3 linked regions of the Cricetulus griseus genome follow. The protein of the gene in region 1 binds, or shares a complex with, the protein of each later gene. Links are inferred from orthologs where the notes say so. Each region holds a gene or a part of one and is shown in the gene's direction. Other genes may lie near its edges. The genes, in order: Lmna, Zmpste24 and Banf1.

Region 1 (7,297 bases):
CAGCCGTGATTTCTTAGTGTTGTGGCTCTCATGAGTAGTTAGTGTGAGAATGTGGACATTCTTCCCCTAGTGGGCACTGAAGGCCTTCACTGCCTCTAGACCCATTCTCCCTGGGAACAGCTATCACTCAGCTTCTTTGACATGTCCTCTACATGACCTGTGCTTTCTTCCTCTCAGCTCGAGGCAGCCCTAGGTGAGGCTAAGAAGCAACTTCAGGATGAGATGCTTCGGCGAGTGGATGCTGAGAACAGGCTGCAGACTCTGAAGGAGGAACTGGACTTCCAGAAGAACATCTATAGTGAGGTGAGCACCATGCTGTACAGGCCGAGAGCTGATTAGCAACAGCTGGACATTGGGCTCAGGGCTCAGGCCAAACTCCCCTGCCTGAAGTCTGCGTGTACCTAGATCCCAGGCTGATGGAGGGCTGCCTGTGGCCTGTAGGGTTAAGGCAAGGCAGGGAGCACGGACTTCTGGGTCTCAGCTTCTAAGGAGCCATTCTGATGTACATTCCTGTGTCTTGAACCCTTTTAGGAGCTGCGTGAGACCAAGCGCCGGCATGAGACCCGGCTCGTGGAGATTGATAACGGGAAGCAGCGTGAGTTTGAGAGCCGGCTGGCCGATGCCTTGCAGGATCTGAGGGCCCAGCATGAGGACCAGGTGGAGCAGTACAAGAAGGAGCTAGAGAAGACATACTCTGCCAAGGTGCTGGCCTCACCCTGTCCTCTCCCTGGTGCTGCCTCAATGCCTGTCCTATCCATGCTGGGTGTGCCTTGGGGGTGGGTAGATGGGAGCAGGGAGATTGAGCCAGTGACACCATCCTCAGGTCACTAGCTCTATCCCTCCAGGTTCCTGTTCTAATACTGTGTGCTCCATACAGCTGGATAATGCCAGGCAGTCTGCTGAGAGAAACAGCAACCTGGTGGGGGCCGCCCATGAGGAGCTCCAGCAGTCCCGAATCCGCATCGACAGCCTCTCAGCCCAGCTCAGCCAGCTCCAGAAGCAGGTGACGCCCCGTTTACCCTTTCCACCAGGGCGCTGGGCTAAGCAGATCCTGCAGAAGCCCACTGTGAAGAGGGGGAGTAGAGGGGAAAAGGGACCGCAGGACTACACACTATGGTTTGGAGTCTCATGTCTACTGTGTTCCAGCATCCCCCTTCAGCTTGCCTTGGTCCTCAGAGCCTCTTTTTTACCTTTTGTATGAAAGGTTTTTCCTGTTTACTGTGTGTGCTGGGGATTAAACCCGAGGAGGCCTCGGGCGTGGTAAACAGGTGCTTCTTTTTTCTCCGTATTTGAAAATGGAGATTACCTTGGGCTGGGCTAGTGGCTTAGTTGGTAGAATGCTTGCTTATCATGCATGCAGCCCTGGTTCTATCCCCAGCACCACATAGAACCTGGCATGGTGGTACCTGCCTTTCAACCCAGGCTGTAATATCAGGGATTCAAGGTCATCCTCAGCTTTATAGCAAGTTTGAGACCAGCCCAGACTACATGAGACCCTGTCTCAAAAACAGAAAAGCCAGGCAGTGGTGGTGCACAATTTTAATTCCAGCACTTGGAGGCATAGAGAGGTGGATCTCTATGAGTTCAAGACTAACCTAGTAAAAAAACAAAAATAAAAAACAACAACAAAAACCCAAACCAAAATCAAATAAAAAATAATGCTTAAAATATAAGAAGAAAGAGAAGAATGGAAAATGGTGAACACTCTTGTCCTCCCCAATTCACAGATCTGTCATAACACTGCTGTGTGAGATATTGCAAGTAATATTATTTTAGATGGCTGTGCTATTTGTGGCAAAAGGAGATGGGGGGGAGGGGGTTTAGCCTCAGAAGGAGAGGTTTCAGTTAGATGTTAGATAGAGCTTCCTGGTTACTAGATAAGGCCATGGTGCCCCCCCCCTTTTTTTTTTCTTTCGAGACAGGATCTTTGTGTAACCTTGGCTGTCCTGGAACTCACTGTGTAGACCAGGCTGGCCTCAAACTCACAGAGATCCTCCTGCCTCTGCCTCCCGTGTGCTGGGATTAAAGGCATGCGGCACCACCACCTGGCTTGCCATGGTGTTTCTAAGGAGAGCCCACAGATCCTGCCCCCCCTTCTTCATTACTTTTGGCCCTTGGGCGCTCATCACACCTTGCCTTTCCCACCCATCCCAGTTGGCAGCCAAGGAGGCAAAGCTGCGTGACCTGGAGGACTCCCTGGCTCGAGAGCGGGATACTAGCCGGCGGCTGCTGGCTGAAAAAGAGCGAGAGATGGCCGAGATGCGGGCGAGGATGCAGCAGCAGCTCGATGAGTATCAGGAGTTGCTGGACATCAAGCTGGCCCTGGACATGGAGATCCATGCCTATAGAAAGCTGCTGGAGGGCGAGGAGGAGAGGTGAGCCAGGAGGGGTCGAAAGACGTTGGCAGGAGCCTCTGGACTGCAACTACCATGACTAACCCCCCACCTTGTCTCCACCTTCCCAGGCTACGCCTGTCCCCCAGCCCTACCTCGCAGCGCAGCCGTGGCCGCACCTCTTCTCACTCATCCCAATCGCAGGGTGGGGGCAGCGTCACCAAAAAGCGCAAGCTGGAGTCCACTGAGAGCCGGAGCAGCTTCTCACAGCACGCTCGCACTAGCGGGCGGGTGGCTGTGGAGGAAGTAGATGAGGAGGGAAAGTTTGTGCGGCTGCGCAACAAGTCCAACGAGGTGGGCCTCAGGATCAGAGTCTTGCATTCAATAGCTGGGCGACATTGGTTCTCATGGAGCATCCATCTCTCTGGGAATTTGGAGTGTGACAGTCCCTACATCTCTAAAATTGTTGGGAAGATGGAAGATACCAGTGTGTGTGGCACAGTATACATGTTCACACAGCCACAGTAGGACCCTTGAGGGATAGGGTAGAGAGGCTAGTAGGTTTGAATACCAGAGATGGTGGTGGCAGACCTGGTTTTTGTTGTTGTTGTTATTTTTTATTTTTTATTTTTTGGATCAAGCTATTCCCCCTGTCCCCATGCCTCAGTACCAAAATCTGTAGTAGCTGGGACTACAGGTGTACACTATGGCATCTGGCCTACCCCGGCTCTTTTGTGAGATAAGTACCAGGTTGAAGACAGACTTTGAAGATTCTCCCCCCCCCCCCATGGAAGGCCTCATCCTCCCCGGGGAGCAGAAAGGGGATGGGTTAGGGAGTTAGTGGGGGGCAGGGGAGTTAGAAGGAACTGGGATTGACATGTAAAACAAGCTTGTTTCTAATTTAAATGAAAAAATAGAAAAAAAAAAAAGTACCGGGTTGAGTCTCCCGTTCTCCTCCCTCCCTCACTGGCAGGACCAGTCCATGGGAAACTGGCAGATCAAGCGTCAGAATGGTGATGACCCCTTGATGACATATCGCTTCCCACCAAAGTTCACTCTAAAGGCTGGGCAGGTGGTGACGGTGAGTGGAAGGGTGTTTGGGATTCTGGAGTGGAGAAGTTGGCCTCTGGACAGGAGCGTTAAGAATAAACACACTTCTTAAACTGTCTTTTCCCAGATCTGGGCTGCAGGAGCTGGGGCCACCCATAGCCCCCCTACTGACTTGGTGTGGAAGGCACAGAACACCTGGGGCTGTGGGAACAGCCTTCGTACAGCTCTCATCAACTCCACTGGAGAAGTGAGTATGTTGCAGCCTGGACCAGGCTCCCCCTGGTGGCCATAATGAGAGTCAGCTGCCCTCAACCCAATGCAACCTTGAATCACGTTCCAAGTGCCCACCCAGTAAGCAAGCTAGAAGTCTCCCCAGCAGGGTAATGGGTGGAAATCAGCCAGTGAATGTTGTTAGCTGCAGACTCGGCCTAAAGAGAGCTGATCTCCCAGGGGTGTCCTTTCTATATGTGTGCACAAGCACACTCCTTGACTCCAGTGTTAGAGGTCAGAGCAAACAGCCGGTTAGGGCAGAGCCTGGGAAGGTTCTAGGTGGTTATAGAGGGTTCTGGGAAGGTACTATGGGTAGACAGGCTGCATGGCCCCCACCCCCTGACTCTTGGGCCTGGGCCTATGTTCCCATAGGAAGTGGCCATGCGCAAGCTGGTGCGCTCAGTGACCATGGTTGAGGACGATGAGGATGAGGATGGAGATGAACTGCTCCATCACCACCACGTGAGTGGCGGCCGCCGCTGAGACCCAGCCCACATGGGTAGCCCTACCAGCCTAGGGCAGCTCCCCCACCTCTATGCCAAAGGTCTTTTCATTAAAGAATGTTTTGGAATGCCACTTGCTGCCCTGGCCTTTCTTCTCTCTCCTCCCTCTACCTTGAACAGGGAACCCAGGTGTCTGGTAAGGAAGGGAGTGGGAACTTTCTGGTGCCAAGGACTGTTCCACGGTGGCAGTGGACAAGGATCTGGATTTGTCTCCTGGGAAGGGGATGGGAGGACAGAGATGGCCCCAGCCCTGCCTCTCCCCTCCCTGCATGCATTCCTCTGCTGTCTCTTCTTCATCTGCTGCATGCTTCTTCTCACGTTCCCCTTATTTCCCGGCAACAGTGATTTCTCTCATTCCTGTCCCCTCCCTCACAAATTAAATATCTCCATCTCTGATCTCCCTCCCAATTTCCCTGTGAGATCCTAGGATTCAGGACAGTGTGAAAGCCACACCTCTCCATCTCGAAGCCTTCCTGGCCATTTTCCCCTGTCATGTCCTTCCTCCTAGCCACAGGCCTCCCAAGTCCCTATTCACTCCAGCTGTCTGGGTACAGAGGTCATCTTCCTGCCCAATGGCCAGGAAACTATAGGAGCCCAGAGCCTGGTCCTAAGCAGTCAGTCCCAGACGCACTGTCCCTCCTGAGCCTTGTCTCCCTTCCCAGGGCTCCCACTGCAGCAGCTCGGGGGACCCCGCTGAGTACAACCTGCGCTCACGCACCGTGCTGTGTGGGACTTGTGGGCAGCCTGCCGACAAGGCTGCCAGTGGCTCAGGAGCCCAGGTGGGCGGATCCATCTCCTCTGGCTCTTCTGCCTCCAGTGTCACAGTCACTCGAAGCTACCGCAGTGTGGGGGGCAGTGGGGGTGGCAGCTTCGGGGACAGCCTAGTCACCCGCTCCTACCTCCTGGGCAACTCCAGTCCCCGGACCCAGGTAAGTCATCATCGATCTGCATCTACCCCTACAGCAGGACACTGCTCACTAAGCAGCAGGGCAGGGCAGGCCACGGGAGTGGGACCCTCCTCCTTGTAGCCCCTCTTACACCCTGCCCCTCCTGTCTGAACCCCAGACTTGAGGGCAGGGCCAGAGCCAGAGGGTGAGGGTTGGGGGGACACACACCCCTTTGGGGTCAGGGAGGGAAAGGATGGGCCAGCCACTGTGCTCGCTCACATCTCTGCATTCTCTTCTCTCTTAGAGCTCCCAGAACTGCAGCATCATGTAATCTGGGACCTGCCAGGCAGGGGTGGGGCCAGAGGCCACCTGCTCCCACCTCACCTCATGCCCACCTCCTGCTCTGCACCTAATGGGAGCAGGCCTGAAGCCAAAGAAAAAATTTATTTCCTGCCTTTGGGTTTTTTTTCTTCTTCTTCTATTTTTTTTTCTAAGAGAAGTTATTTTCTACAGTGGTTTTATACTGAAGGAAAAACACAAGCAAAAAAAAAAGTCTCTATCTCAATCCTAAGTCCTTCCCATACTTTCCCTGTATCTGCCTTAAAATCAATGGGCTTCTTTCTCCAAGGAGCCCAGGGAAAGGACTGCTTTTATAACGGCTAGTTTTTGTCCTGCTGCCTTGGCCTTGCGCTTATCCCAGCACCCTGTGACATGGTGCCTGAGAGGCAGGCGTGGAGTTCTCTTCATCAGCCTCCTCCAGACAGCTGGCCCACTGCCACGCCGGCTGCAGAGAAAGGGGGTGCAGAGGGGATGGCTGAGAGAGGTCAAGCCCCTCCTGGTTCCACTGCACTTGGCTGAGCCTCCTCTGCCTGCCTTATACTCTTCCTGCCCCTCCCTAGCCTGGGGTCAGTGGATTCTCCCAGGCACCCCTGCCATGCTTGCTTTTTCTATATTTTATTTAGACAAAGATGGGAGTGAGGTGGGAGGAGGAGGGAAGGCCAGTCTGAGCCTGCCTTTTCCCAGCTTTAGAGCCTGGTGGGCCCTGTCCAGTCACTGGAAGGCAAAATCAAGTGGGAAGAGTGAGAAAGTAGGCTGCTGCAAAGGGCGAGAGCCGGCTGCGGCCCTGCCACAAGGGAGGCCTGTGAGTAGAGTAGAGTAGAGGGTGTGATGATTGGTGGTTACGGTAAACACTAAGGAGCCCTTCACCCCATTTCCCATCTGCACCTCTGCTCTCCCTCCAAATCAATACACTAGCTGTTTCCATCCTGGATGCTGTGCTGTCTCTCTTTGTTGGGTGTCACGTGTGTTTTGAGGGGCACACACATGCACACACATGCACACACAGGTCCCTGCATATTCAGTGCTACCCAGCCTCACCCTTGTCTAGGGCCACGGGAAGATGTGAAGGGGCATCTGTGAAGACGGGCACATGTGGGCCGAAGGAGAGGCTTTTCCTTCCTAACCTTCATCTGCCCAGCACTGGTCCAGCACCTTCTAAATGGGGCCCTCATGTGTGAACCAGAAGACACAGGAACACAGATAGAGGGCAGAGTAGCTGGGTAGGAGCAGCAGAACTTCTCTTGCAAAAGGCCAAACCTGTAGTCCCAGCACTCTGGATGCTTCGATTGCCTTGGTAGGTTGAGATATTCTCAGGGTTAGAAAAGCCAGGTGTGGCTCACACCTGTAATTTCAACACCTAGGAAGCAGGGGCAGGAGGACTGCTGCAAGCTCAAGGCCAGCCTGGTCTACATAGTGAGTTCCAGGTCATCTAGAGACTCTGTCACTAAATAAATAAATAAATATTTTTAAAAAAAGGAAGGAAGGAAAAGTCTGGGGAGTTTGAGACTACTAGCCTGGGATACATGAGACCTGTTTCCAAAACAAAATGTCAGGAGGCAGAGGCAGGTGGATCTCTGTGAGTTTGAGACCAGCCTGGTCTACAAGAGCTAGTTCCAGGACAGCCTCTAGAGCCACAGAGAAACCCTGTCTCGAAACAACATCATTCTGGGCATTCAGTCAAAAGTGATTGAGGGCTGAAAAGATGACTCAGAAGGTAAGAACTTGTACGGCTTTTGCAGAGGACCCGAGTTTGGTTCCCAGCACTCTTATCTGTTGGCTCACAACTGCCTATAACTCCAACCTTAGGGCATCTAACCCATCTTCAGGTCTCCAAGAGCGGCTGCTTTGAAAATGCACCCCCCATATACCCTAATTAAACAAACCCTTTTAAAGAAATGAGTGAGCTAGATACAGT
Region 2 (6,647 bases), on another chromosome or scaffold:
AGAAAGAAAGAAAGAAAGAAAGAAGAAATTAGAAACCTACAGCAAAACAGGTGGTTATTCTGGGCTTGCACAATCTTAATTCATGTGGAGTTGCACAGTCTTAATTCCAGCACTCTGGAGGCAGAGGCAGGTGGATCTCTGTGATTTCGAAGCTAACCTGGTCTACAGAGCTAGTTCCAAGACAGCCAAGACTATACAAAGAAACCCTGTCTTGAAAAACAAACAAGTGGTTACTAATTTGCTTATATTTTATTTATGCATTATAGCAAAAATCAAAGACTGATTGACTGGTGTTCTTAAAATAGAGGTGAGGTGAGGGATGTGAATGAGGGATTTTCGTTGTTTTGTTTTTCAAGGCAGAGTTCTACTGTGTATCCCCGGCTGTCCTGGAGCTTGTTCTGTAGACCAGGCTGGCCTACAGAGATCTGCCTGCTTCTGCCTCCTGCGTGCCGGGGTTACAGGCAAGCATCACCACCACCTGTTTTGTTTTGTTTTTATGGTTTTGAAAGCTGAACACAGGGCCTCACAAGTGCTAGGCGAGTGCTGAGATAAGGTTACTAGAGCCTGAATAAAGGTTGGAGGAGGGGTTGTCTCCTCTCCCCTTTCCTTCTTTCCCTCCTTGAGACAGCCACATACTCCTGCCTGAGTCTCTTTGGTAGCTAGAGTGACAGCTACACATCACCACGTATGACTCAGATAGCCAAACCAAAATGTACATTCAAGATTTGAAAGACATTCATGCAGAATTGGATGGTAACAGAGACTCACACACTTTATTAGGAAATTCATATTTACTAAAGGGGGGGAGGGACGGAGGGAGAGAGAGAGACAGAGAGAATGTATATGTGTGTTGTATACATAAGTATGCTTGCCCATGTGGAGACCAAAGTTTAACTTCCTCTGTTGCTCTCCAAGGCCAGAAATTGATATCAGGGATCTTCCTGTGTCACTGAACCTGGCTGCCTAGCAAGCCCCTGAGGTCCCCACTCCCTAGCACTGGGGCTGCTGATGTACACTTGGCTTGTCCATGAGTGCTGGCTGTGAATTCAAAGTTGGGTCCTCAGGCTTGCACAGCAAGTACTTTACCACGGAGCTATCTCCCAGCCCCCAATGTGTATATGTATATGTATATGTATATGTATATGTATATTTATCATGTCATTCAATCTACTATGCTTGTGTATGCAAAGACTTTGGTTTTCAGTTCAGGGTTTCTCTGTGTAGCCCTGGCTGTCCTGGACTCACTCTGTAGACTAGGCTAGCCCCCAACTCAGAGCTCCACCTGCCTCTGCCTCCCAAGTGCTATTATAAAGACCTTTTAATCCCTCAGAGTTTATATTTTTCCATGAAGAATTTTCCTCTCATGTGGTCTTTAGAAATTGTGAACTTACTCTGGAGATATTACCATAGCCACTTAGAAAACATTCAGTTTTGAGTGTGAGGCCAGCTACAGGGAGAGACCACGTCAATAACAAAACAAGATTTAAAACTATTGTCAGAGGCTCAGTCATATATTTTAGAATAATCTTAGTGAAGACTTATTAAAGATAGATAAATGATTAAGAATATTAAAAATGATCATGTGGGACTGGAGAGGTGGCTTAGTGGTTAAGAGCACTGGCTGCCCTTGCAGAGGCCCTGGGTTTAGTTCCCAGCAACCACATGGTGACTCATAGCCATCTGTAACTCCAGTTCAAAGAAGTCTTGAAGCCCTCTTCTGACCGGTTTGGGCACCAGGCAAAACACAAGCACAAAATAAGTATTTGAAAAAGACCCTCCAGATGTAGTTGTGGATTCCTGTGGTCCTAGCATTTGGGATGTGGGGGCAGAAGAGAGAGAGAGAGAGAGAGAGAGAGAGAGAGAGAGAGAGAGAGAGAGAGAGAGAGAGAGAGAGAGAGAGTGAACAGAGAAGTGATTCTGGAACGCTGGGCTGAATTCACATCCTGATCTGTACAGTAGCAGGGAGAAGTTCCTAAAGAATATGAAGCCTTTGCACATGACACTTTCCCAGAAGCTCCTTTCTAATAAGGGTATATACCCATTTCTGGTCTGTTTGCTTGAAGTGGGGGAAGCTCAGTTTGACATTCCACACACCCCCATCCCCAAGTCATAGCCTCCTAATAGGTTTGGCTTGCCTTGCCTTTCTCATGTCCTGACCAGCCTTCCTCCACAGCCTGGCTCATGAAGACTTAGGTGACAATGAAGGTGCCAGGTGGCTAAACCCTTTTCTTTTCTTCTGCAGGTTTTGTCTTTCTGCCTGACAGTCCTGAGCCGCAGATTTGAGTTTCAGGCCGATGCTTTTGCCAAGAAACTTGGGATGGCTAAAGACTTATACTCTGCTTTGATCAAGCTAAACAAGGATAACCTGGGATTCCCAGTTTCTGACTGGTTGTTTTCAACGTGGCACTATTCACACCCTCCACTACTAGAGAGGCTTCAGGCTTTGAAAGACACAAAGCAAGACTGAGCCGCTTGGTGTCTGGACACACTTCCGGTTATATCTGTCCTGGCAGCATGTTCCAGCTCTTGATGTTTTTAATTTTTTAAGAAAAATGATTAAGTACATAAAAGTCCAGATTTAAATACATTTACTATCTCATTTCAAAAATGATCGTAATAATCCATTTCTTAAAATACTGGATAGAAATTTGAGGCTTAATATTTTTAAAACATAGTCTTATCTAACATTGGTTTACCATCAGTTTGTAAAATTACTTAAGGCAATGCACAGCTCGTTTTATTTCCTTACTGTGGAGTCTGCGTATAGGGTATTCAGGCTGTGTGTTTAGGGAGGAAACATCACCTCCAGGTAGTTTCTTCAAGACAGAATCAGAAAGGATGGCCCCCAATCATTGTGCTTGTACCTACATGGAGTTTGTTTTTACCTTCATGATGTTATGATTTAACTTGGCCAATCAGTGTTTTAAATAAGAAAGAAAAGTACAAATTAGTGAGGCTAATGCTACTGAAATGGACGTTGTTAGTCTACACTGTACTGTTGTAGTCACAAAGCTTTCTGTTCCTTTCTTGCTACACACCAATCAGGAATCCTCTCCCTTCTTCTTCCCTCCCTCCTTCCTCCCCTCACTTCCTTCTTTTTTTGAGATAAGGTCTCATTTTAGCCCTTATTGGCCCCAAGTTTATTCTTTAGCCTAGGGTTGCCTAGAACTCTCTTACCAGGCCTCCTTCCTCGGCCTTCCAAATGCTGGGATTGCAGATGTGAGCCACCACACCCAGCTTAGGAATTAATAGTGCTTGAAATTAGAAATCTTTTAAGAAAGTCTTAATTTTAAGCCAGGTTTGGTAGCACTTACCTTTAATCCCAGTGCTTGAGGCAAAGGCAGATGGATCTGTGAGCTGAGGTCAGCAAGGGCTACATAATGAGACCCTGTTTGAACAAAGAAAAGAGAAAGGGAAAAGAAAGTCAGTTTCAGCTCTTTACCTTACCTTCCACCTGGCCTTGTTAGAGGTAAAGTAGCCTTTTGTCAGTCTTGTTTCCCCCAGCAACTGACAGTACATCCTTTCACTTAGCAGAAGTTGCCATGTTGTACACATTCCCGATGTTAAATATGGCAGAATAGGAGAAAAAGAAGAGATGACATCTGAAAAGATGTAAAGGTGGGATATTCGTGATTCTCTTATTACAGGAAAAAGTACACGTTATCTTTTTTCAAGGACAGAGTCTCTGCTTTCATTTTTGTGATGTTTTTATTCATAAGATATAATTAGACCAGATTATATTTTTTAAATTATAAGCCTTGGTAGGCAGGCAGATATTTCCTTTCAAAAATAGCCTCATGAAAGATTTCCAGTGGTAAGAGGTGTGTGCTTGACCACTTCAAATGCCTGTCCATGTCCTGGGCATTCACTCCATCGTGTGATGACTATACACTATGACATGTGAGTGAGTGGTGCCTTCCCTCAGACCATAATAGCCTCAGAGCTCTAGTTCAGCACTGCATTGTTTATGTCCTACAGCTAAGCAGAGCAGCCCACGGTTTCTCTCCAGCATCCTTCCCTATGACTTCATGCTCAGATAATTGCCTTTCCTTCCTTCTGTGCCTTTAAATATACATTTCAGTTCTGCACAAGTGAGACATTAAAAATTGCCAATGCAGATTTATGTCCTTATGTTGGGTTTTGTGTTGTGATTTTCGCGTCACGTCACCCAGATGTGTTGATTGCCTACAGGAACAGTGCTGTCTGTGGATCCTGTGAACAGCCCGGAGTCTGAGTGATACCAGTGCTCATGCTGCCTCTGTTCCTTTCCCGATATAGATCACCAGTTCTTGCTGACACTCCCTCAGAAGCAGCCTTGGAATTACCCTATCTCCATTATTGTAAGCTCAGATTCTCTTAGGCTTGGTTTTTATTGTTGTAACCCTTTGGATCCTCTGTATCATCCAGATTAATCAGGAAATACCCAAGTGTATTCTAAAGCCTAAGAAACCAGGATTGCCTATACAGATAACTGCCCTGTGTGAGTCAGAGCTCACCTCTGATCCTCAATAATAGCCAACAGTAAGATACACTAGTCCCTTCTTCCTGTAGTTTTCCTTTCTGGCCATTACAGAAATACTAGTAACATTTGTCAGGTTGTTAAAGAGAAACTTTCTTGGATACGGTCTCCTGCATCCCAGGTTGGTCTCAAACCTATCTGGTAGTTGAGGATGACCTTGAACTTGATCTTGACTCTACCTCCTGAGTGCTGGAATTGCAGGTGCCATTACATGGTGGCCAGCATGTGCCACCATGTTTATGTGATGCAGGAAATTGAACCCAGAGTCGAAGTACTCTATAAGTTGAGCCGTAGTCCAAACCCTACATACAATGTGTTGTCATAACTGTTTTATTAGTTACTGTTAATCTCTCACTATGATTAATTTAGAAGCTAAACTTTATCATAGGTATATGTGTTGTAATTTTTTAAAAAAGCAGTTCCAATGAAAAAGACACCATGTGGCAGAGTTCAAACAGAGGGTGTTTTTTTTTTTTTATATATAGGGGAAAGGGATTGTTTTGGTTTGTTTGTTTGTTTGTTTGTTTGTTTTCGAGACAGGGTTTCTCTGTGTAGCTTTGGAGCCTATCCTGGCACTCGCGCTGGAGACCAGGCTGGCCTTGAACTCACAGAGGTCCACTGGGCAGGGCCCTTTTAAAAGGGAACGCAGTGAATGTGTACAGGTGGTGCTCTTAGTGGCCGCAGCTGAGGGCATATCCGGTCAGGACTCCAAGGACAGGCCAGTACAAATGCCTGAATACTAACAATGTGTGCATAGAAAAATCGATAATGGAGCCCAGTGACAGGGCATTGTAGGTAACTGGAGGCATCATTCAAAAGGGAAACTATGGGTATAAAAGCCTTGAAACAGGTAATACCAGAAGGCCAGAGGGTGGGAAGGGTGCTAGAGGGGTTGCGAAGTGAAACAGGGAGGTCAGATTTTACTGCGCCTTGTTGCTGCTGTGAGAATTCAGACTTTGGGGGCTGGGGATGTGGCTCAATTAGAGTACTTGCCTAGGATGCACAAGGCCCTGGGTTTGAACCCAATGCTTTGAGATGGAGGGGTTTTAAGATTTTTTTGGTTTTTGTTTTTTGAGTCAGGGTTTCTCTGGCCGGACTCAAACTCACAGTGATCTGCCTACCTCTGCCTCCCCACCCCCACCCCCCACCCCCAGTTCTGGGATCAAAGGCGAGCTGTGCCACGCCTGGTTTTAAAAGTTTACTTGGTTGTGTGGGAAGTGTTAGGCATGAAGGCTTAGGACATGATGTGGCTTAGTTTTACAGGATTGCCCTGGTTTCTGTATTAGAAGTGGGTTGGTGGGGGCTGGAGAGTTGGCTCAGAGGTTAATGAGGACTGGCTGCTCTTCCAGAGGTCATGAGTTCAAATCCCAGCAACCACATGGTAGTTTACAACCATCTATAATGAGATTTGGTGCCCTCTTCTGGTGTGCAAGCATAATGCAGGCAGAACACTGTATGTATAAAAAAATAAATAAATCTTAAAAAAAAAGAAGTGTGTTGGCGATGGGACCTTCTCATCCTTGTGGCAAGTAACCTTGGTGCTCCGGAGAGTGGTAGTTGGGGAGGCATTGCAAGGTATGACCTGGAGGAAGCATGTTGAATCTCTGGGGGCAGCTGAACCATCTAGCTGTAGTGTCCTTTCTGTTAACTGTCATTTCCTCTGTGTGTGTGTGTGTTAGTGGAAATCAAATATCAAATCCAGGGCCTCACTCATGATAGGCAAGAGCTCTGCTGAAGTACCCAACATCATTTTGACCACTCAGAATTCAGTTATGGAGGATCCCTCACTAGGTGCAAAGAGCCACTGGGAATCTTGAGCCATCAGAACACAGCCACACACAGGTTGAATCCAAGTCAATTCATTCCTAGTTTGATGATTAGAGTTGTTTCTTTGTGTCCTGGATATACTTTCCATTTGTTTAATGAATTGTCACAAGCTGTTTCGGGCCATGATGCAATTATAGTAGGTGACAGCAGATATTTATAAGGCCAACCCACCTGGTGATCAACTAATGTGATGGAGGAAATTCATAGGCAAGGCTTATGAAAATATTGCCTATAAATACTGACTGCTTCTGTCTGTAAATTCACAAGTACAGAGACAGCTATGTTATCTCCCCAATACCTG
Region 3 (7,254 bases), on another chromosome or scaffold:
ACAGCTCTACTAGCATCACTGACACACAGTGAGCTCACACTTCATAACAGCTGACTCACTAAGCCAGTGGTTCATGACCTTCCTAATGCTTTGACCCCTTAACACAGTTCCTCTTGTGGCGGTGACCAAACACAAAATTATTTGTTACTCAGTAACTGTAATTTTGCTACTGTTATGAATCATGATGTAAATGTCTGATATGCAGGATATCTGATATGCAACCCCCCAAAAGGGCCGAGACCCCCAGATGAGAACTGTTGCACTAAGCAATTGCATAAGCATTAGCTTTTTTACTTTGCATAATCCTGTCTCTTAGGTAAACTCTTGTTTTTGAGAAAAGATTTCATGTAGCTCAGGCTGGCTTTTTTTGGGGGGGGTTTCCTTTCTTTTTGGGGGGTTTTTCAAAACAACGTTTCTCTGTCTCAATTTGGAGGCTGTCCTGGAACTAGCTCTTGTAGACCAGGCTGGTCTCGAACTCACAGATATCCATCAGGCTGGCTTTGAACCTGATTCATGTACACAATGCTGGTTCAAACCCCTGCTTCCACCTTGTAATTGCCGGAATTACAGGTATATACTACCACACCCAGTGGTGTGAAGATATTAAATACTGTACCTAAAGTCACTTGCCTATTTAGTAGCAAAGCCAGTATTTTAACTTGGCCTTTAAGCTATACCCATAACTATCCACTCTACTGTGTATGTTAGAGTTCTCAACAGAAAAGCAGGATCACCTTTCTCCTTGAGGCACCAAGGTATGAAATTGTATTTTTGTCTTCCCTGGGCTGGGGCTTGCTCCTCACCTGTTCATACTGTTTTGTTTCTCAGCTACCTCAGAGAAGGCCTCAGGCCTGTGACAAAGAGAAGATCCAGGTCAGAGAGTGAAGAGAAACCTTTTAGCAAAATAGCTGTTTCCAAATGTCCTCTTGGGATGGCATAACCTCACCACCCCTACCCCATTCCATAGCTAAGATGTTACCACACCTAGAAGCTAGAAATTATCCTACCAGTGGCCCTCCTTCTGCAGAGAACGGACATGGTTCTTGCAGAGCACAAAAGATATCTCAGCCTTCACTTTCTCTCCCTCTTCAATAGGGTCAACAATGAGGAAGTCCCCTGTAAGTGACAAAAGATAAAGGCATTCCCATGTGAAGGAGAAAATCAAGAATCAAGGTCATGGTTCTGTACTGTACAGGGATGCCTCTAACCTCTTTTGATCCAGATGTTCTTTCGGTATTTGGAGGGCATGCTCACCAGGAAGCGCTGCCCTTGTGCCGTCTCTACCTCATGCAGATTGTTGCCGGGAGTCCTCAGGACCTGGTGCAGGAAAGATCAAGAATTAGGCACATCACCAGTTAGATCAAGCACACACTGACCTGCACTGAGCCCTTCCCACATCCCAGGGGTCCGGTGGGCGTAGAGAAAAGCTGAGACCCATGCTCTCACCTTCACTATCTGCTGTTGGTCTGAGGGCACCATGTGCTCTCCCAGCACCTCCTGCACCACGTGTTTTCTCTTGGTGGCCTGAGACATGCTGGGTTCTGTCCAGGGTTGTTAGGACGCAGACAACGTCAGCTCTTCCAGAGTTATGTGGATGGCAGTCTTAGAAGCCAGGACTGCTCTCAGGAGAAGCAGCCTTATAAGAGAAGTGCCACCTTGCCCTGTTAAAAACAAGAGCTTTACAGGACTGGCGACTTGCTGCTCTTGTAGAGAATCTAGGTATGGTTCCCAGCACTCACAGAAGCTACAACTGACCCTACCTCCAACACCCTCATTTTGAGACATACATGCAGGTAAAAACACTGATAAACATAAAAAAAAAAATCACTAAAAAACAAGGCACGTGTTTAGCCAGATGCTGGTGTATGCCTTTATTCCTAGCACTTGGTATGCAGAGGCATGCAGATATTTGTTGCGTTCTAGGTCAGCCTGGTCTACATAGTGAAACCCTGTCTCAAAAATGAAGCAAACATGACGTTTAAGGGCCGGAGAGATGTCTCAGGACCCAGCACCCACATCAGTTGGTTCACAACCATCTCTAACTCCAATTCTAGGGGAATCCAATGCCCTCTTCTGGCCACCAAGGACACCTGTAACACCCACACACAGTAAAAGAAACCAGGAAACATGTCTTATAGTCTTACTTGGAAGAAAGGGGGATGGCTCAAGCCTTAAATCTCAAGACTCTAATCCCAAACCACAGAGGTAGACGAAAGCATATGGAGGCCAGTCTGGTCTACGTAGCGAGATATCCTCTCAATAACTAACAAAAAAAATGTAAATAAGTACTGACGTGACGATGAAACCATACGCACCTCCCAGGCCGATCATTCTGACAACCTTTTGTTTGTTTTTTCCGAAACAGGATTTCTCTGTGTAGCTTTGGAGCCTATCCTGGAACTAGCTCTTGTAGACCAGGGTGGTCTCGAACTCACAGAGATCTGACTACATCTGCCTCCCGAGTGCTGGGATTAAATGCTTACGCCACCACCGCCCGGGCTGACAACGTCTTTGGGGAAGTTTGAGTAAACTACTTTCCTCCACATGCTTTAACACCCCCAAGTGTAGGTCAGCCATACAACAGATGCTCGTCCTCCTAACACTCATGGTGTAGACTGACTCGGCCACCACCGCAGCGCTTCAAGCCGAAAAACCCTTCGAGAAAAGAGCCGCCCACAGCACTCACCCGCTCGGCGTTACACAAGCAAGCTACGTTTTCCAGGTAGACGCTGAACGCAGCTCGTCTACGACTCACTTCAAGACGGAGTCAACAAAAGCAAAGAAATGCGACTGGCAGGTGGTCACGACGGTCGCGCCGGTTTGGACGCCTGGCCTCAGACCACCGGTGTTCCCAGCTGCCGTCAGCCGGCTTCAGATAGACCTGACTCTGAGGAACCCGCGAGAATTGCACTTCCGGGGCTCTCAGTAGCCCTCCGGATGCCCCGCCCCTTCTTTGTCCGTTCCTTTAGTCTTCCCTCGACCAAGTCAGGCCACCTAAGTCTTTAAGTTCCAGGTGCTGGGCAAGAAAAAGATAACAGTATTCTCCTCGGAGGCCTCGGTCTCATAGATGGGAAGCGGGGCCGGAGAAACACGACCATAGAAAGCAGCGCGGCTTCCTGTGAGGGACCGGAAAACAGCGACCTCTGTGGGCTCCGCAGTTAGCGGTTGCGCCTCAACTCTATGGCTCTCTGTGGCTAGACGTGCCCAATTCGGGTATTTTTTTTTTAAAGGCGGCTCCTGACACGACCCGGAAGCGGAAGTTGAAGAACGTTCTAGCAACTTGAGGTATCGGCTGGAGCTGCCGAGTGGCGGGAGGAGCCGTTACGAGAGCCGGAGCTGCCGGTGAGCGTGAGCGGCGAAGTAAGGCTCCGGCTAGGCGGCGGAGGCGGGAGGGAGAGGAGCGCCCGTGGCTGAGGCGCGTCTCTGCAGCGGACCAGCCTGGCCTTGCGGGAGGGGCGGTGCGCGGAGCGTGGGAGCCGCGGCGCGTGCGAGCCGCGGCGCGTGGAGGAGGCGGGGCGGCGCGTCCGGGGCGGGGCCTGGGAGCCGCGAGGCGTGGGCTCCGGCGGGCTGCGGGAGCCGGTGCGCGGCGCCTGTTGGCCTGTGGAGGGCGGCGAGGGTAACGAGCCCCTCTTTTTGCTGCTATTTCTACCACGTGGTAGCTCCGGTCGGGGTCAGTGTTTGCCTGGCCAAGGTCACCAAGAGTGACAGCTTCAGGGCGGGCCCTGGCTGCTGAGGCTGTGAGTCTTTCTCTACGTGCGCCACTTGTTAGTGCAAGCTCATTACCAAATCCCAGGGCCCACAGAAAGTGGAGATTTCAGGATGTAATAGCGGGGGAAAGACTTTCCCTGGCCCCCAATTTTCTCAGGTGTGAGATGAGGGGGAATCGAGGAAGCAGCCACAATAGCTGACCTAGGAGGTTGCCCTTGGGAGTTGTGGTCTTCAGCCCTAACCTGCCTTTTTTTGGGATTCCCAGGTTAAACCTGATCAAGATGACAACCTCCCAAAAGCACCGTGACTTCGTGGCAGAGCCCATGGGGGAAAAGCCAGTGGGGAGCCTGGCCGGGATTGGTGAAGTCCTGGGCAAGAAGCTGGAGGAAAGGGGCTTTGACAAGGTGTGGGGTGGCCACAGATGCCAGGGAGGGGTAGGAGTGAAAGTTGGCAACAGATGATTCCAAGCAAAAAAATTGGGAGTTAGGAAAAGTAGGGGTACGGGGAGGGCACGGACAGTGGTAGATAATTTGAAGTGGTTTGGGGGCATCTGGGGAGGCAAAGTCATTTTTGTTGTTGTTTTGGAGACAGGATCTCTGTCTCACAAGTGCTGGGATTAAAGGTGTGCCCTACTGTGTCCTACCCTTTGAGTGTTTTCAATGCCACAAAGGTGATGAAACTAGGTATAGTGGGTCCTCCCTATGACCCCAGCACTTGTGAGATTGAGGCAAGCAGATTCTCATCTAGTTTAATGCCAGTCTAGTCAACAAAGCAAGACCCTGTCTTAAACAAAACAACCAAAACAAAATGGCCTTGCCCTCTCAAGTGCTTATCAGCTGACTTGCCTAGCTTCAGAGATCTGGCCCCTTCAGGTTGCTCTTTGCTCACAAGGCACTTAGCTGTATGCCCTTCCTGTTTTATAGGCTTATGTGGTCCTTGGCCAGTTTCTGGTGCTAAAGAAAGATGAAGACCTCTTCAGAGAATGGCTGAAGGACACGTGTGGTGCCAATGCCAAGCAGTCCCGGGACTGTTTTGGGTGCCTTCGAGAATGGTGTGATGCCTTCTTGTAATGTACTCTGGGGACTCCTCAGCCCCCCAGCCACAATATTGAGTCTCCAGAGTCTGAAGCCGGGTGGGGCTCCTCCCTGTCCTCCGTGAAGGGAAAGATTACTGTTGTCACACTCACCTCCTATGTACTCCAGGGTCTTTTGGGAGTTCTCTCCCCTCAGCGTTTCAACCTTTTTAGGATTCTTGCCCTTGCATGCCTTTCTCCTCTCCCCCTGCAGTTCCATGGCAACAGTTAACTTTCCCCAATGGATTCCTAGCCCTTTTCTCCCTCCATTCACGATCTGTTGGATGTCCTTTGGCTCTTTTTTTTGTTTTTTTCTTTTTTGTCGAAAATAGTTACCGCCCTTACAAAGATTTTTAGACTAATAAAGTCAGTGGCCTTCATGATTGGTGTTGTGTGTTGGAAAGCAGGTGCGCTGGGAGTTATGTCTTCCCCAGGGACTGAACATATCTTATCAGTGCAGACCGAAACTGGTGGCTTCTTTTTCCCCTCCCAAGAGGGAACCACCCTAGCCATGTGGGACTTGGGCAGGTGCCCTAGTGTCCCAATCCTAAATAATGTGGGACAGACTGTGGGTTGATTTCTTCCTGGGAGCCAGGTAGGCTGTAGGCTTCTAGATGTCAACATTTGATTCAGGCAGCACCTGGTGGAAAAGTTAGTAGGAGTCAGGTACCAGGAAGAGGGTGGGTGGGATGTGGGTAAGAGTTCACCTGACAGTCATCATGTCATGTGCTCTTGTAGCCTCTGGGAAGAATGGGTGGTACTTTTGCTGTTTGCCCAGCTATCATAGACATGAAAGGAAATAGTTAAACTTGAAAATTAAATTCCAGTCCTGTTGTTTTCAAGCTCATATCGTGAACTGGCCTGAAACTAACATCTTTGTAAGCATTTTAATTATTTCAGAGAGGTGAAGACCTTTGGCCCTCTGTCAGGGGCCTGAAATATCAATTATGGTATTTCAGATACAGGCCTCAAACTCTATCCCAGGAGCTCGAATCTCACATGTCTTTTAGATGTCCAACTGGTTGCTAGCAGATGGTTTGGCCTCAGTGGAGAATGTCTCCTAGTTTGCATAACAACAGACATAGGCCCCGGGTGGGCCCACACCTATTCTGAGGGCTACTATACAGTGCCTAGGGACTGGTGAAAGGCTAGTGAGGACTGAGGATGTACAGTTTTAGGGGTGCCTCTAGGATTAAAGGAAATATCATCTTTATACATGATAATAGATGTCTTCTGATATCACTCCCGTGGTTGGAAAGCTATTTAAGAGGATGTTTGAATAAATGGTGGACTCCAGTCTCCAGCATGGACTGAGAGCCCTTCTGAGATGACAAGATGTCTGTGTCTCATCCTTTGGTAATTAGCTTCCCCAGGTCCACACTCTCCCACTCAGGGAAGGAGCCAGGGCTGTTAGGATGGTTCCGATTACAGCCCCAAAGACATCAGTCCGGAATAGATGGCCTCTCTAGCGTTGGGACTCATACAGGCTGGGCCTTGGCAGCCCTCAGACTGTAATTTGGGAGACTGTGTCCTATGTCATGTTACCCATGCTCTCTAAGCCTCAGTTTCCTCATGTGGATGAGGGTTGTGGGGACAAGGTACAATGCTGTTTAACACTCAGCCTGCTTGGTGTTCATTTCTTCAACTAAAAGTGTCATTGAGCAGTGACGTATAGAAACGAAATGCTTTTCTGCATGTTTAATGTCCAGGAAAGCAAGGATGACAGTACAAGAGTGGGCACGGCAAGAGAAAATTTCCATGGTCTCACAGTGAAGAGAATGTTCATAAGATGGTCTGCATTAATACTAGAAACTTAATCTAAAACCCGAGTAAAGGAATGATCACAGAGTGGGTGGGAGTATTTTTATTAATAAAATCCTCACCCAGAACACATACTACAGCTGCTGTCAAGAAAATGTCTGGGGCCAGGCACTGGTGGCTTACACCTTTAATCCCAGCAGTCGGGAGGCAGAGGCAGGTGGATCTCTGTGAGTTCAAGACCAGCCTGGTCTACAAGGGCTAGTTCCAGGACAGCCTCCAAAGCCACAGAGAAACCCTGTCTTGAACAACCAAAAAAGAAAAAAATGTCTGGGATATGGCTCAGTTGGTAGTGTGGTGGTAACCACCTCTGAAATCATAGCTGGGAGGTATAAGGATATAAGGTCATTCATTCTTGGCTACAAAGCAACTTCCAGGCCAGCCTTGGGTTCATGAGATTCTATCTCCAAAAGAAAGTGGTCTGTGGAGATGGCTAAGAGAATAAACACTGTGAAAGCAAGAGGACCTGAGTTCAAATCCATAGCACCCACATAAAAATGGGAATGGCTGCACATACCCATAACACCATCACCCCATTGTTATAGAGAAGAGGATTCAAGGTGTCCACTGGCCAGCCAGTCTGGCTGAAACAGTTTCAGGTCCAGTGAGAGACCGTCAGTAAGTGAAGTGGAGAATGATAGAAATAGATGCATGGC

The links.
Region 2: the proteins of Lmna (region 1) and Zmpste24 are in contact, whole or in part, in a crystal structure (PDB 2YPT), measured with the Homo sapiens proteins. The link is inferred for Cricetulus griseus from reciprocal best matches to the Homo sapiens genes LMNA and ZMPSTE24. Residues at the interface, in NP_001393912.1 of Homo sapiens: Cys661, Ser662, Ile663, Met664; in NP_005848.2 of Homo sapiens: Ser264, Asn265, Ala266, Tyr267, Phe268, Val332, His335, His339, Glu415, Leu438, Asn439, Asn442, His459, Arg465.
Region 3: the proteins of Lmna (region 1) and Banf1 are in contact, whole or in part, in a crystal structure (PDB 6GHD), measured with the Homo sapiens proteins. The link is inferred for Cricetulus griseus from reciprocal best matches to the Homo sapiens genes LMNA and BANF1. Residues at the interface, in NP_001393912.1 of Homo sapiens: Ser431, Gln432, His433, Ala434, Arg435, Met540, Lys542; in NP_001137457.1 of Homo sapiens: Val11, Ala12, Glu13, Pro14, Glu83, Asp86, Ala87, Phe88.

The regions. Positions count from the first base shown.
Region 1 is NW_023276806.1:66,023,630-66,030,926, forward strand, and holds the end of Lmna (lamin), read left to right. Parts: intron 1-177; coding exon 178-303; intron 304-531; coding exon 532-702; intron 703-877; coding exon 878-1,003; intron 1,004-2,154; coding exon 2,155-2,375; intron 2,376-2,464; coding exon 2,465-2,687; intron 2,688-3,306; coding exon 3,307-3,414; intron 3,415-3,510; coding exon 3,511-3,630; intron 3,631-4,025; coding exon 4,026-4,115; intron 4,116-4,818; coding exon 4,819-5,085; intron 5,086-5,347; coding exon 5,348-5,374; downstream 5,375-7,297.
Region 2 is NC_048595.1:31,100,855-31,107,501, forward strand, and holds the end of Zmpste24 (CAAX prenyl protease 1 homolog), read left to right. Parts: intron 1-2,242; coding exon 2,243-2,467; 3' UTR 2,468-4,131; downstream 4,132-6,647. UniProt on the Homo sapiens protein: Transmembrane metalloprotease whose catalytic activity is critical for processing lamin A/LMNA on the inner nuclear membrane and clearing clogged translocons on the endoplasmic reticulum.
Region 3 is NC_048596.1:53,963,424-53,970,677, forward strand, and holds Banf1 (barrier-to-autointegration factor), read left to right. Parts: upstream 1-3,222; 5' UTR 3,223-3,360; intron 3,361-3,973; 5' UTR 3,974-3,989; coding exon 3,990-4,112; intron 4,113-4,631; coding exon 4,632-4,778; 3' UTR 4,779-5,160; downstream 5,161-7,254. Other genes in the region: probable RNA-binding protein EIF1AD, read right to left, coding at 804-851, 1,008-1,116, 1,209-1,317, 1,447-1,533. UniProt on the Homo sapiens protein: Non-specific DNA-binding protein that plays key roles in mitotic nuclear reassembly, chromatin organization, DNA damage response, gene expression and intrinsic immunity against foreign DNA.